Linked DNA regions of Nothobranchius furzeri. The protein of the gene in region 1 interacts with the protein of each later gene in a pairwise test. Links are inferred from orthologs where the notes say so. Each region holds a gene or a part of one and is shown on either strand. Other genes may lie near its edges.

Region 1 (3,500 bases):
AACAGAAGAGAGTCAAGTTTTAAAAGTTTAAAGATTTATTACTAAACAAATTAGACTCACTTAAACACTAAATGTATGGTGTAACTAAGGTGAAATGAGACAGAGAATGGTGTAGTGTGGAATGTTCAGAACCAGCAAATCTGAAGAAACTATTAGTTCTGGTGGGAAATGAAGGTGATGTCTTCACGCTAAACTTTGTTTAGGAGATTCATAAACACATTCGACGCCATTTGTCGGTCCACATACCCTTAGTGGAAGTCCCCGTCTAGATCAGGAGGTGTAGAAGTTAGGGTTGTCACGGTATGAAAATTTAACTTCACGGTTATTGTGACCAAAATTATCACGGTTTTCGGTATTATCGCGGTATTTTTTAAACTGTGTTGCATATGTTCAGAAAGCATTGATTGTCCTGTTCTACACAAACTGAAATAGTTCTGAAAAGGTTCAACAGTGTTTATTAAACCTAAAATAACACAAAGCCTTAGCAAAAGTGCAACTTTTCACAAGTAAAGGAACAAATTTTTCTGGAACATGTTACAGTAGTCAGTGCAGGTTTAAATTTTACAAATCCAAACATTCGAAACATAAACAATATGTAAACAAATCAAAGAAACACCACTTGTTTTCTCATATACTTGTTTTCTTCATTATCAAAATGAAAATCTAAAACTCCAGTCCACACTTGACTTGAGCACTGTACAAGTCAACCTTAAAAAATATGTATTTAAAATAAATAGCCACTTTAAACAAATTACTAAAATAACTACTACACTATGTAATCAAATCCAAACGTTCAAGTATAAATGGCATTGAATAAGTAAACAAATCAATGACAAAGAACTAATTGTATATTTCTCTTCATCATCAACAAATAAGACGCTTCATCCAGCAACAGGGTGTCCGTGACACGGTTTAAATGCTGGCAGAGGGCGCTGCGGCTGCAGTATATAGTGACTCGTTGTATTCTCCCTCAACCAAAAGTCCTCACGTCATGCATTTAAGCTAAAATGCTAATGTTAACTTACCTTGCACTGGCTGTAGAGACGTGGGTGATGGTCACACACATGTGCCATTAGATTCGAAGTGTTGCTGCCTTTTGCAGACACTTTTCCTGCACGTTCTGCAAACGGGATAGCAGTCTTCCATTAACTGTCCCTCAGCAATTTTCAGAAATCCAAAATATGCCCATACTTCCGATTTAGTCTTCTTTGAGGGCTGATGGATGTCCTGGGCGCTGCCGTCTCCTCCTTCGGCCATTATTTCAGCTTCAAAGTTTTGGTGCCGTTGCAAACTAAAAAGTGCGTGTGCGCGCCGCGGGAAATTCAGCTGAAGCGACGGTGGCTGGTAAGGGTCATCGCGCCGAAACCGCGGCCACGGTAAACCCACCGAGATAATATAGTTTTTTAAAAACTGGACGGTTATTTTTATTGTCAACTTTTTTACCGGGGTTTACCGCTATACCGGTTACCGTGACAACCCTAGTAGAGGTCCAGCTTGACCTTTGTGGAGCCGAAGCCTGTGGAAACAGCCGCGGCAGCCGACCACCAGTCTTGAGATTCTTCCGGGTCACAACAGTTTATCGGCATCTAACAAGACCCAAAACGGGGTCGTGATGGTTCAGCTTTTATTCTGAAAGGAACCGCTGCAGCAGTTGTTTACAGATTGTTTACAGCAACAGATTTTATCCAGCTTGTCGTTGGTTCTTTCGGCTGAAGATGAAAGTTACAGATTGGCCACACCGACAACTTCTCTAGATCGCTTTGAACTGGCGTTAAAGATGACGTGGGCATAGTTTTATTGTGCTATTTAAAAATAAGTTCTGAATGTGAAACGTTACTTGAATAGCAAAGTTTTTAGATGTGTTTTTATTTCAAGATTTCTCGATTTGTGATGCTTTTGGAAACGGGAGATAAGCCCCTGGACTAATGCTCCTCCTGGCTTGGGAAACTTGCTCTCAAATGCTTCCTTTTAGTTATTTAAGTAGCACACACACATTAGGAATGCCTTTGGTGGAATTCAAACAAACCATTTTAATCTAGATTATTCCAAGATTACAGTGAAATTAATCTAGATTAAAAATCTATGCCCACCGCTAGTGAAAATATTTGTTTAAAAATGCTAAAACAAGTGTTTAATGCCCTCCTGCATCATTTTCGTCATTTCTTATGAAAATTTAGGGATAAACTTTAGGTGCTGATGTAGCCTACCAAAGGCCAACTATTTGGTTAATTGTCCACTGTAAGGTCAGAGGCATCCGAGTTTACAGGAGATCCAAGACTTTTATGAAGCAGTCGTTAGTCTGTGACTTTTCTTATAAACTGAAGCGATGGTGTATTACTGCAGATTAACGTCACTTTTATCCAACAGAAATACCCTCAGTACACACTGATGGTACGAGCTGCAGACACACAGGGAGAAGGGTTGTTTACTGAGGCCAAAGTAATACTCAAGGTAACGGACAGCAACGACCTTCCTCCAGTCTTCACACAGTCCTCAGTAAGTACAACACATGTAGACCTACTCGTGCATCAGGATCATTTCTGTAACTTACTAGTGTTGATTTTAACAGCTGACAGGAAGTTTAACTTTGTAAATGAACAGTTTTAGCGTAGCTTGAGCAGTCCAGTTTGTGCTGCTGCAGTCAAAACAATCAAACTACTACACGATGACCCTAAAGTGGAGCTAATCTAGAACCTTCTGAACTTTTCAGTATAAATCATCAGTTGAAGAGAATAAAGTGGATGCTGTGGTGGTTAGAATGTCGGTGACGGACGGAGACGATCCACACACTCAAGCCTGGAACGCCAAGTTCACGATTGTAGACGGAGATGCCGGAGGATTTTTTGCTGTGAAAACGGGAGCCAACAAACAGGAAGGAATTCTTTATACCGTTAAGGTAGGTGCAACAGAGTTCTCCGTAACAAAGTAAAGCTTCACTTAGAGCCAGAACTGCATCTGGTTTGTTGTGTAAAGGCGGAACTTGAAGGGGACACCCAGTGTTGGGTAACCCTGACTCCGACACCGCAGCACAGCCTCAGCAGTTTTTTGTTTTGGCCTCTGAGTCCTGCGGTGGAAACCTTCCATCAGCTGAATGAGCTCCTAGTGTCTTATCTGTTGTGTGGTGTCTCCTCCTCCTCCATTAAACCAGGGTCTGGACTATGAGATGACCAGCATATACACTCTGATGGTTTCAGTGGAGAACGAGGTTCCATTTGTTAATGATGTGCCCACCTCCACTGCAACAGTCACAGTCACGGTCCTCGACATCAACGAACCTCCGATATTCGATCCCACGGAGAAGCATGTGGCCAAACCTGAGAGCCTTCTTCCTGGCAGTGGGGTGACGGTGTACACGGCTTCAGACCCGGACACGGCGCGCAAACAGACGGTCATGTAAGAAATCTGATTAGAATTAACTTGTCTGTATTTAACCTGGTTTCAGCTCAAAACAGAGAGGTGTGTGTATGGTGAAGAGGATTTAAGGTTTGATGAAAACCTTT
Region 2 (4,139 bases), on another chromosome or scaffold:
TAATAATTTAGCAAATGTAAACTAGTTCCTCCCTTCTTCTTATTAGCATTAGAGCTAATTAGCTGACGACAGTTGACTAGTGTAGAGCCAAAAGCAAACTTGAACAGGTCACTAACTTAGGTATAACTTCGTCGTTGGAACAGTAGAGTTAAAATGTGCAAGTTGCTTAAAAAGACTGATTATTTTAAGACAAAAACTAACCTTTGATGGAAAGTCCGCCGCTGTTGCTTCCTTTTCTGTTGGATATTTGTGGGTTTTATAGTCAAGAGCCAGCTATTAGGTCGATGTAGCTAACGTAGCTTGCCGTGGTAGCTTAGCTAACATCCGTTAGCCTGTGAGTGATTTGTTTTGAAGAAGCACGGGCTAACGTAAGCTAGCTCAACTTCGCTAACGTTAGTCAGATGTGGCTGCAAAACTGTTAAATACGCAAGGTCCATACGTTAATTTCCTCTAAAAATAAAAAGCGATACGTGTCCTTTCTGATAGACAGGGCATGGTTTGTACTCACGCATTAAGTAATTCAAACGCGGGGCTAAGTTTAACATGCAAAGCAAGAAAAACTCAGTCATAAATTTCGAATCAAAATGGCGACATTGTACGATGAGAGCGCGCGGCACACGGGGACGAGCATCAGCTTCACTGCTTCGCAAAACATCAGAGCTCACTCACATGGGGTTCAAGCATCTTAATTGTAAATTATGTAATTTCTGACTCGTTTAATTGTCTCTTACTTTTAAAAATGGTACATTAACAGCGCTTGTGGGAATTGTGCAAATGTATGCGACAAAACGACGCTCAAATTAAAACAAGATCTAAATTATGAGACAAACTCATTATGCAGTAACGCAACAAACACATGAAGTCAAAATTATCGAGACGTTATGCGATATATGTCAGAAATAAGAGATTTTAAAAACACCAGTTTAACTTGAAATTAAAGGTGATATGAATGAAGATGCATATAATCTGATTAAATTAAAAATGCCAATACCAAAATATTAGACTACTAGCTTAAATGCTGTTCTGAAAAGTTTAAAATGCATTTACTTCATTTAGAAGTGCAACAATTTTGACACTTTTACAGAGTGTTAGTTTTTTTTTATTTATGCATGCGAAGTTAACTGCTCAGTTTATACTACAAAGATCAGAAAAGTGGTTTTATTTTAATGAACGAATTACTTAATATTGTATGTTTATAAATATCATCTTTACAGAATTCAAGGGACCCCCCCCCCCCCCCCGGCCACCCACAATGCATTGCGCTCACTCGTTGGATCCGGTTGGATCATGGACCAAAGTGGTGAGCTAAACGCTAAGTAGGCCCTCTGTTGTCAAAGTTTGTTTTTGTGGCTTATTTTTTCGTTTTGCCGCCAGAGTTGCTGCTCTAGTAGTTCTTTAAATTATTACGAACAACCTTCCAGGAATCCGGCTTTGCTGTTGGAGCTTGGTGCCTCTGAAATGCTCCGTTACGGTTTAGGTTAGCTGTGGATTTGTGCTAAAGGACGTCAGTTCACCATTTAACCCTTAAGTTCTAAGTCAGTTGGAATAGTTAGTTGTAACGTTAACTGGAGGTGTGTTCGGTTCCTGTGCCGAATGTGATTAGTTTGATTTTAGGTGTAAATCCAGCGATAGCGTTGTACAGCCTACCTTACCCTGTTTTAGCGCTTAGCTAATTCTTTGGCTAACGGTTTGTAACTTCGTTTTTGTTGCTCGTCCTCAGATTATTTATTGATGTCCGAGACCTTCTTTGTGTTTAGTATTCTCACAAGTAAAGATCAGGGTAAACTGAATTTCGGTTGGATAAAAATAGCCTGGTGTTCTTTCGGAATATTTCTTAAATATGTCAACGTTTCAATCTGTCGCCTTTTATGTGCCTTCGTTTTGAGAATTTTCTCCTTTCTTTACCATAAAAAACACTTTCTTGATAAACTTACGTCACAGATAATAAGCATTATTCTTCAAACCGTTAGATTTATACTTTGATTACATGAGGGAAAGTGTTCCGACACATCAGCAGGCAGAAATGCCAAACATTAACACGCCAAAAAGTAGTTTGAACAAGAACAGAAACGTTTGCTTATTTAACTCATCAGTCGGGTACATTTCAAATAAAGATTTACATAACTTTTGGAACGCAGATGTAATATAATTGTGCTTAATGGTGTGATGCTATCAGTTTTTTGTTTTTATTTTTTGGGTTGTGCATTCGGTGTGTACAGACGGTGATCTTCAAGGGAGCGATGGTTCGGGAAGTTTGGGTGGACTGGATGTTCGCAGACGAATCCCCATCAAGCTCATTTCCAAGCAGCCCTTGAGGAATAAGCCCCAGCAGCGGATGCAGAGGCCTGGCACCAGGCCCTGCAAAAGTGAACCTGGGGAAGATGGTACGCTACCGAGCACATTAAAAAGCAAGTCACCCCCAAATCAACCTTTTTGTGTGATAAACTATATAAATTGTGCTGCAGACATGTGTAGTCAATAGTTTGGCACTTTAGTGCATTTTAGTTAAAATTTTAATTTTCTGACTAAAACTGTCAGTGTTGTGCCGTTGTCAGGTAAAAACTCTGCACTGCATTTGAATTTAAATCTGCCATCGCTATTGGCTAAGAGGTATCCTACAACGTTAGCTGGTACCATATGATGTCACAATGTCGTTGTGAGCGTGTGTGTGTGTGTGTGTGTGTGTGTGTGTGTGTGTGTGTGTGTGTGTGTGTGTGTGTGTGTATTTGTTAGCAGCTCCGCCCTCTCAGTCTGCTAGGCAACAACATTTGTTGCATTTTTCAAATCAGAAGTGGGAGTGGAGTAATACTCTGGTAGGGGGTGACTTGCTCTTTAAACTTTTAAAAAGTAAACTGATCGGGGTTATAGTCACAACATTTTCTGTAGAATTTTAATTTGGAGGTTGAATCTTTTTATGGTTCATGTTGATTCTGTGCTGCAGGAACTGCACAATTCTGGCTGGACTGTGCTCCCAGCAGAATCCACTAATCAGTCATTTGCTCCAATGCAGAGCCTTAAAAATAACTATTTAGACAGATGCTTTTAAAATAAACTGATTTATACACCTCAGTTAGTAATCATAAACATTGTTTTGTTGAACCTGACCAAAACCCTTCTTCTGAGGGTGAGACAGATTTTGCTGTATATTAACTTATAGAATTAACCATTATTCATTAGAATATACTTTATTGTCTCAATTGGGAAATTTGTCATTAGGTCAAAAAAGTTGCACTTCGGTTAGTATAACTGAAAAAAGGAAAAACTACACAGAACCATACTAATCTCCACATTACATACTACTCTTAACAGATGACCTTTGATTATGCATTGTACATAATACACATAGCACATTCCTTAAACATCGAGTACTGCACACTTACACAATCCCACAATACTGCAATTTGAAAATTTCAATCTGAAACATTTTGCCCCAGCTCTATCAGTTGACTAATTGAGTTCTAAACAACAAAATCTGCTTTTATTAATCAGGGTTTTATTGACTTTCTCTTTTCAGTTTTACAATAATACTTATTTTCTCATATTTTGTAGATAAATTCAACTTTAAGCAAGAGGAAAGGTTTGATTGTGGCACCAAAGCTGGCGATGTGTTTGCAAGCCAGCGGAGATTTCCACAACCCCTATTTTGGGACTATAAGGTACGTCAGTGTGGGTTTGCTGACATCATCTTATTATAGTGACTTTCTGTTTTATATATATATATATATATATATATATATATATATATATATATATATATATATATATATAATAAAGCTGTCCATTGACCTTGGGTTAGTGTACACTGTTGTTTTGCTTTGACTATAAAAGCTTTGTGACTGGATTTGAGTATGTCTGAGTGACAGATACCCATAATTCCACCCATTTGCTTTCCCTACAGTTACATTTAATTGGTGAACGGGATGAAGTACCAATTCATTTCTGTGACAAATGTGGCCTCCCTATTCAGCTGTATGGACGGATGGTATGTACTTTGTTCTTGCTTGCTCCCTTTGGTTGGTTTTGAATCATTTTCTGGACTGAGACTCTCCCTCTCCTCAGATCCCATGCAAACATGTTTTCTGTTACGACTGCGCTTTGCTGCATGAGAAGAAAGGAGAAAAGATGTGTCCAGGGTGAGA

What was found. The genes of interacting proteins can lie anywhere in the genome.
Region 2: the proteins of B-cadherin (region 1) and E3 ubiquitin-protein ligase Hakai interact in a two-hybrid assay, tested with the Homo sapiens proteins (2 studies listed by BioGRID, with this or other methods). The link is inferred for Nothobranchius furzeri from reciprocal best matches to the Homo sapiens genes CDH1 and CBLL1.

Annotation. Positions count from the first base shown.
Region 1 is NW_027223037.1:4,231,160-4,234,659, forward strand, and holds part of B-cadherin, read left to right. Parts: intron 1-2,367; coding exon 2,368-2,496; intron 2,497-2,710; coding exon 2,711-2,896; intron 2,897-3,148; coding exon 3,149-3,393; intron 3,394-3,500.
Region 2 is NC_091741.1:57,567,327-57,571,465, reverse strand, and holds the start of E3 ubiquitin-protein ligase Hakai, read left to right. Parts: upstream 1-1,339; 5' UTR 1,340-1,458; coding exon 1,459-1,477; intron 1,478-1,516; exon of another isoform or gene 1,517-1,687; intron 1,688-2,219; coding exon 2,220-2,408; intron 2,409-3,549; coding exon 3,550-3,656; intron 3,657-3,898; coding exon 3,899-3,982; intron 3,983-4,059; coding exon 4,060-4,133; intron 4,134-4,139. UniProt on the Homo sapiens protein: E3 ubiquitin-protein ligase that mediates ubiquitination of several tyrosine-phosphorylated Src substrates, including CDH1, CTTN and DOK1. Targets CDH1 for endocytosis and degradation.